Linked DNA regions of Sus scrofa. The protein of the gene in region 1 purifies or fractionates together with the protein of each later gene. This does not show direct contact. Links are inferred from orthologs where the notes say so. Each region holds a gene or a part of one and is shown on either strand. Other genes may lie near its edges. The genes, in order: DHX38 and PPP4R3A.

What was found.
Region 2: the proteins of DHX38 (region 1) and PPP4R3A purify together in Homo sapiens (co-immunoprecipitation; 3 studies listed by BioGRID and IntAct, with this or other methods). This does not show direct contact. The link is inferred for Sus scrofa from reciprocal best matches to the Homo sapiens genes DHX38 and PPP4R3A.

Annotation. Positions count from the first base shown.
Region 1 is NC_010448.4:14,996,772-15,001,036, forward strand, and holds the start of DHX38 (pre-mRNA-splicing factor ATP-dependent RNA helicase PRP16), read left to right. Parts: upstream 1-1,319; 5' UTR 1,320-1,686; intron 1,687-3,170; exon of another isoform or gene 3,171-3,254; intron 3,255-4,212; 5' UTR 4,213-4,229; coding exon 4,230-4,265. UniProt on the Homo sapiens protein: Probable ATP-binding RNA helicase. Involved in pre-mRNA splicing as component of the spliceosome.
Region 2 is NC_010449.5:113,124,202-113,128,022, reverse strand, and holds part of PPP4R3A (serine/threonine-protein phosphatase 4 regulatory subunit 3A), read left to right. Parts: intron 1-1,161; coding exon 1,162-1,239; intron 1,240-1,321; coding exon 1,322-1,438; intron 1,439-2,140; coding exon 2,141-2,296; intron 2,297-3,216; coding exon 3,217-3,348; intron 3,349-3,448; coding exon 3,449-3,551; intron 3,552-3,821. UniProt on the Homo sapiens protein: Regulatory subunit of serine/threonine-protein phosphatase 4. May regulate the activity of PPP4C at centrosomal microtubule organizing centers.

The DNA.
Region 1 (4,265 bases):
TGAAAAAAGGAAAGGGAAATTGAGACCACACCTAAGAAAATGTCTATAGCAAAGGATAAAAACAAGGAATTCAGAAAGAAGACAGACGAGAAAAAAAAAAATTTGGAAAGTTTCACTGCTAAGTAAAGAAAAGCAAATTAAAAGATGTATTTTAGGAGTTCCCACTGTGGCACAGCGGAAATGAATCCAACTAGCATCCATGAGGATGTGGATTTGATCCCTGGCCTCTCTCAGTGGGGTGGGGGGGAATCTGGCCTTGCGTCAGCTCTGGTGTAGGCCAGCAGCTGTAGCTCTGATTTGACTCCTACCCTGAGAACTTCCATATGCTGTGGGTGTGGCCACAAAAAGTAGAAAAAAAAAAGTTATATTTTAAAAAGCCATTAAACTGGCAAAGATTAAATGATAAAGGCAAGAATGTCAGTGAAGGGACAGGCTTCATAGTCCCCCCTAGAAAACAGAGAACAAACCTTGTCTAGAAAGAAACCTGAAATACAACTCCATTTCTGAGAATTATTTCCTAGTAAATAACCAGACATACGCAGAAAGATTTATGTAAAAAGGATATTTGTCACGTTTTTAACAGTGAAAAACTGGAAACAACTTACACTGCCATCGGTAGGAGAATCGTGAAATGAAGGATGGCAGTCCTGTAACATACTAACACACTGTCACTACATATTGCGTTATAGATTAACAATTCAGATACGTGAAAAATCCTCGTAATAAAGAAAAAAGTCATAAAACAGTAGTATACAAAGGGTGATTCCGCTTTTGTACAAAACCTAACTATAATGCAAATATACATATTCACATAGGAAATAACTAAAAATGAATATCCTCAAACACCCTCAGTGGTTTTCACTGCGTGTGAACTTACGAGTGACTTTTACTCACACTGGGGTGCACGTCTTCATTTTTCCAATATCCCCGACATACCTATTTTTTATGATGCCAGTGGCTGGACTACTCCTGGCCCACAAGTGCCGGGGAAAAATGATACTTTATTTGCACGTCATCTTCCTCGCCAGCACTTCAAGGCTTTCGGCAACCCTGACACTTTCTCCAAAAAGCCGCGACGCCGGCGACTCCTTTCTTCTTCCGCAACCGCGGCGGCGACCCTAAACCAGAGTAACCCAGGGGCTGTTGCCAAATAACTCTCGGCCGACCTCTTAAGTGGACGGAAACGGAAAAAGAAAACGCACAAACGCAGTGATTAACGCGCGGTCTGTTCAGTTCAGCAGCCCAATAAGCGGAAGGGCCTATTCTACTCACGGCCAATCTTCCCCGCTGCGACCGGAAGCCTTAGGGTCACTTCCGCCCTTGTTAAACATGGCCGATCCCACCCCGCATTCCAATTAGGGGGCTGCCCAACTCTTAGACTAACCGTGATTGGTCGCCAAGAGACTCGGAAGTGTCTGTAATAAATGTCTTATCCCAGCCTCAGCGGAGGACCGTCTAGTCCAACAAGCGTGGTCCCCTTCCGCCCCGCACTAGGAACTCGCGTTTTCCGGGCTGATCTCGATGGTATCTTTGGACGGATAGAGGGGACCGCGCAAAGTATTATGGGACAACGATGGCCGCTTTCAAGGTGCGGGTTTTGGCTTTCTGAGACGTTCTGAGCGAGGAGTGGCTGCGCCAGCGCCCCAGAATCCGGGACAGAAGGTCTCGAGAGTCGGGCGTGGTGAGGTGAGTGTCCCTTCTTCCTTTCCGACCTTTTCTTACCCAGTCGTGGTGGCTCCAGGCAGCGGATATTGGTCCCTCTTTCGGGTTTGGGCCTAGACTTGGGAATCCTTGTCTTTGTCAGCCAGTGTGCCTTATTCGCTGTAGGGATATTGCGCAGGACAGCCTGCCGCGGCCTTCCTCTTTATTCTGATCAGATCCTGCATTTTGGTGCGTCCCCGCTGAGGTCCAGGGATGCTGCCCTGGGCGTCACCTGCTCCCTTCCTTAGGCCTCCGCATTAGCCCACTCCCAGACGGACTCCGAACCCAGTAGGGGTTCTTTGGGCTTCCTCTTCTCTGTCACAGTGGTATCTCTATCAGGCGATATCCTCTGCTAGAATGTCAACTCCAAGAAGGTCTGGACTTTTGTCTCTTCTCTTCTCTATCTCTAATGCCCAGAACAACGACTGGCTCACAGAAAGCTGTCAGTGAATAATTATTGAATGAATATATTCAGTTTCTTTCTTCACTATTTTCCTTATACCTCTTGTGGCTTCTTTACCATTAATACTTATTCGCAAAACAGCAGTTAACTCCTCAGCCACTCGTTGTCCTGTCAAACTCTTTTTCCTGTGCTCCTAGTACCTGTCCTTGCTGTCTTTAGGAATTTCTGGCTCCCTATCTCCTTTAATCAGTTTAAACTTGTTCATTCATTAATTCTTCACATGGTTCTGTTGTAGGCACTGGGCGTAGTAGTCATTAAGACAGACAAGGTTCTCCTGCATAAAATGACATACTAGGGGTATTTTTTCTAGTTCAGACTACTGAGCAGAGTCTGTATGTCCTACCTTCCTGGATTTGCTCACATGAGTACAGATATCACCAGTAGGTAGCTTTCCCTTTTCCCTTCTACCTAATGGCATTTTTTTTAAAATTTTTTTTGTCTTTTTGTCTTTTTGTTGTTGTTGTTGTTGCTATTTCTTGGGCCGCTCCCGCGGCATATGGAAGTTCCCAGGCTAGGGGTCCAATCGGAGCTGTAGCCACCGGCCTACGACAGGGCCACAGCAACGCGGGATCTGAGCCGCATCTGCAACCTACACCACAGCTCACGGCAACGCCGGATCGTTAACCCACTGAGCAAGGGCAGGGATCGAACCCGCAACCTCATGGTTCCTAGTCGGATTCGTTAACCACTGCGCCACGACGGGAACTCCCCTAATGGCATTTTTAAAAAAGGAAATTCTTGTTTCTTTGACCATACTATGTGTTGTCTGTTTGGCAATATTCTTCTAGAAAGCTCTGCATGTTAATTAAAGCTGGGCACAACAGTCTGGATTCTGGTGGTACCCTAGCACTTGATAGTTCTTTGCTTCACTGACTTGTTGGAATGAGGGAAGTTAGTCAAGCATTCAGAATATTTATAAGTAGATGGTGTATAGTGGGAAGAAAAAGAGGAGTTTGTTACAAGTTGAGTGCCAGGAAATCTTACAGTTACCTAAATACTTTTTCAGAAGTACCATTCCCAAGCCTGATGCTTCTCATCAACATTTTTGGAGAACATGAATTGTCATTAGACAGATTTCAACTGCCGTGAGGTAATTCTTTTCTACTGAACTTACCTGGCCCAGAAAATGCGTTTAAGTATAGACTGCATGGATAGTAGCCTTATCAACATCTCTGCTCCGCTGTAGCTGTAGTTTAAAAGAAGGGAGAGGAGGAAGAACTTACGTAGAAAAAACGATGAGGGATCCAATCAGTGTCTAGGAGCACAGCAAGTGAAATAATGTAACAGCCACATTTCTGTAACTCTTTATGGTTACAGAGTGCTTTTACTAAACTTTCTTGTTTGATTCTCACAACAACTCCAAGGATCAGATAGAGCAAAAAGTATTTTCACTTTGCAGATATAGAAGTTATGCCTAGGAGTTCATGCTTTGGTGCAGTGGGATCTGCAGTGGCAGGGGAGCAGGTTGGATCCCTGGCCCATCACAGTGAGTTAAGGATCTGGCGTTGCTGCAGCTGTGGAGTAATTTATGACTCTGGCTTGGAGTCGATCCTGGCCTGGGAACTCCATATCCCATGGGGCTCTCCCCCCCATAAGTGGGGGAGGAAATTATGCCTAACTGAAAGTTAAGTTATTTGCTTACAATCACACAGGCAGAAAATGTCAAGGGCCTGGATAGTAGAGATTTCTGATGTTAAATCTAGTGGTGTTATCCTTATACTCCCTTTTGAGATACCACCATGCTCTAGTAAGTATCTCTTAGTGAGGTCTGTTCTTGCCTGGATGCTGCCCTCTTGGATCCAGGTGTGTCTGTGTGTGCGTGCAAGTATCTATTTCGGATGTGTGTTGGGGTGGGATTAGGAAGATCTTTTGAGATTGTCAGTGACTTGATGGACAGGTCTTGGTTAAGAGGTAATTAAAGGAATTTTGGTCCTGGAGAAGAGGTCAACGCACCAAATATGCATGTGGCTACAGTTACTCTGGGATATAGCACAGTCAAGCCTTTCCTCTTCTTATGTCTAATGCCAAATGGTTTGTTTTCCTTTCAGAAATCTCAGAGCCTGTCATGGAGGACACCATCGAGGATGCCTCCCTCCACCGA
Region 2 (3,821 bases), on another chromosome or scaffold:
AATACGAATAATTTCAAGTTACGTCTTTGTTTCCCTACAGTATGCTCTGTAAAATGCTGGCTGCCAGTTGTGTGGGTCTTTCTGTTTCTGTTGATGCAGAGTGTTTATATTCAAAATACTGTGAAAGAAGGAGAGTTTACAAATTTCTTTGATGAGAAGCAGTTCTTAACCCATCTTATACACAGTCATAACCCTTGCCCTTGACTGATTTCTATGTAACACTGTTAAAACAGTCTTGATTCTCTAAACTTTGTGGCAGTCTGGAGAATCATTTTTAGTCATTTGATTTCCATTTGGTGGGATATATTTTAGCTGGATCTTGACATTGGAGATGACATTTAAGGTATGGCCTATTTGTACATTAGGCCATAGAAAAGTAAAAGTGGGAATCACTAGCATCACAGAAAATGTTTCTTAAACACCCACGGCAGCGAATGTGGGGTTTATAAATCCGTGGAAGGTCTCACACACACATACACATATTTAGACTTCGGCGGCATGTCTGTAAGGCTGAAGTAGTATGGAATTAAAATATAATAAAATCTTAATTAAAAATAGTTATAGACAAAATTGAACAGGAAGTCAGAAATGGTTTAATGTAGAATAATACGTGTTAAGTTATTTTGTATTTGTTTTGTGTGTGTATCTTTAAATAATAGATGTTTCTTAATTCCAAAGTTCTGAATTTAGCTTTTTAACTATTGCTGTTTTTAAAATGTGAAGGAAGTTTTATCTTCCTTTGAGAGGTTGCAGAAGCCCAGTGAAAATGAGGGGTCTACCAACCGTGTTTGTTTTCTTTCATAAAGTAATACTCATTCATTGCCATATTGCCTGTGTCTGCTTCCTACTGTAACAACATAACAGAGTAGTTGTGGTAGAGACCATATGGCCCACAAAGCCCAAAATTTTTTAAATGTGGCCCTTAACTACCTTAGGAAATAGAGCCTTGCTGAAATATAAAGTATAATCTTTCTGTATAAATCCCCAGTTTATCCTTTAATAATTTTTTCCTTCTCTTTTAAAAAACAGCATTGCCAATACCATCTTTCCCTTTTCCAGTTATTGCAATTTATATCTTCTACAGTAACATCTTGAAAATGTATTTTATTATATACTCTTACTATTATTAGCATAATTAAAATCTATCCTTTGATTTCACAGGAAGATGAAAAATTTCTGACAGATTTGTTTGCACAATTAACAGATGAAGCAACAGATGAGGAAAAAAGACAGGAATTGGTAAGAAATTTGATATTATAAAGGCCATGAAGCTAAAACAATACAACCTATTATGTTCACTTAACCTTTTTCCTAATTTCAGGTTAACTTTTTAAAAGAATTTTGTGCGTTTTCCCAAACGCTACAACCTCAAAACAGAGATGCTTTTTTCAAGACTTTGTCAAACATGGGTATATTACCAGCTTTAGAAGTCATCCTTGTAAGTTTGTTTCTCCTTATATTTAATTACCATTATATTTTTAACCCACAAAATAGTATATTTTTATGTAACATGCAACTGTTTGATTATAGCTAATATTTAACATCAGCTGTGTATTACATAAAGTTAAATAGCTATAAAATTCTAGTATTAAGAGAGTCCTTACACAGTGCTAAAAGGACAATTACGGAATTTTCCATATTTTTAACAATTTAACTTTGCATCATATTAAAATGCTGGAGTTCCCGTCATGGTTCAGTGGTTAACAAATCCGACTAGGAACCATGAGGTTGTGGGTTCAGTCCCTGGCCTTGCTCAGTGGGCTAAGGATCCAGCATTGCCGTGAGCTGTGGTGTAGGTCACAGATGTGGCTCGGATCCCACGTTGCTGTGGCTGTGGTGTAGACCAGCGGCTACAACTCCGATTAGACCCCTAGCCTGGGAACCTCCGTATGCCGCAGGTGCCGCCCTAGGAAAGACAAAAAGACAATAAATATATAAAATGCTAGAGGAGAAAAATAAACGGGAAAAAATGAAAGTATAACTTTATCCCATAGAACAGTAATTTTACATACAACATAATTTCCTTGACCTCTCCTTTTTATTGAAATATATTCTTATAATTTGTTAGGGTTTAGATTTATATAGCTGCAAGTTCCATATTTTTATTATTATAGAAGAAATAAGTGCTTTTTACCTGCAGGGCATGGATGATACACAGGTGCGAAGTGCTGCTACTGATATATTCTCATACTTGGTTGAATATAATCCATCCATGGTACGAGAGTTTGTCATGCAGGAGGCACAACAGAATGATGATGTAAGTAAGAAGTTAACAGAGCAAAAAATAACCAACAAGGTAAATATTATCTTCACTAACAGTAAGTATTTATACGTGGGGAGCTATAACTATATTTATTATTCATTTCTTAAAGATTTAGTCAGTGTTTGAGAAAAGTATACCCATGATATCATGACTTATTCTTCCCCTAAATTGGCTCCTGAGTTTATAAATTGTTTTACAGCAGTTATTTGTTAATGCTCAATTTCAATTTCTTTTAAAATTTTTGAAATTAAGTTTTTTAACTCTGAAGTTAACTTGCTATGTTATAATGTTTAAAACCATTTCATCAATAAATTGTTCTTCTGTATGTGGAATTATGAATAACTTCCCTAAGAAAGCATTGGCTTTGCTAGGGATAGAGGTCTCAAAATTATCAAGAATGATGAAGCATAGTCCTTTGGAAAGTATTTAGGATGCTTTCTTTACTGCCTGACCAACCATAGGGAAAACCATTTATTTTAAATGGAAACTTTATATCATTTCTGTAAAAGGAGAACAGATAAAGTTATCATTTGCCATAGAAGGAATCTATAAAAATGCAGTAAAAGAACAGTGTTATAAATTCTAGCTAGATAATCGTACTGTTAAAACTATGAAGCAAAGTCCCATTAGCTTTCTTCAGAAGAGAGATTTTATTATTAAGAGTTCTAAAAGATCTATTAGCACCAAACTGAAACTTTGTTTTTATTTTAATCCAGGGGATTTAAAGATAATAAAAAAAGAACTTTTTGGTACTATTTGTGTAATGTGTCTGTACCATACCTTTGGGAAACTACCATATATCCTATTAAAGATTCCAGTCAGTCATTTCATTTTGTTTGCAGTTAACAAGATAGCTAGAGCCAGGTATAATGCTATAGCATGTGTCATAGTATATGCTTTTTCCATCCTTACTCTTAGTAAGTGATCCTTATTATGTATATTTTTCCCACCAGGATATTTTGCTCATCAACCTCATTATAGAACATATGATTTGTGATACAGACCCTGAACTTGGAGGAGCAGTCCAACTTATGGGCCTGCTTCGAACCTTGGTTGACCCAGAAAACATGCTAGCTACTGCCAATGTAAGCCGTGGGCATTTTTCTCTTTTTCATACTCGTGTAATTTTGATTGCTGGTAGGAACCAATGCAGTTAAAGTTCATGAAGTGTTTTTGATTCCTTAGAAAACAGAAAAGACTGAATTTCTGGGTTTCTTCTACAAGCACTGTATGCATGTCCTTACTGCTCCATTACTGGCAAATACAACAGAAGACAAACCTAGCAAAGGTAAGATAATACAGGTTGGTAGTTAAATTCTTTGTTCTTAAACTTTGAAACTCAGAAGGTTGGTGTTAATATAGAGGTTTAGTAACATATTTTCAAAAGAGGTAATTTCAAGGTAAAATTTCTTTCAAAAGTGCTATAATCAGGAGTTCCCATTGTGGCTCAGTGGTTAAGAACCCAACTAGTATCCATGAGGCTGTGTCTTTGATCCCTGATGCAGCTTGGATATGGTGTTGCTGTGGCTATGGCATAAGGTGGCAGCTACAGTTCCAA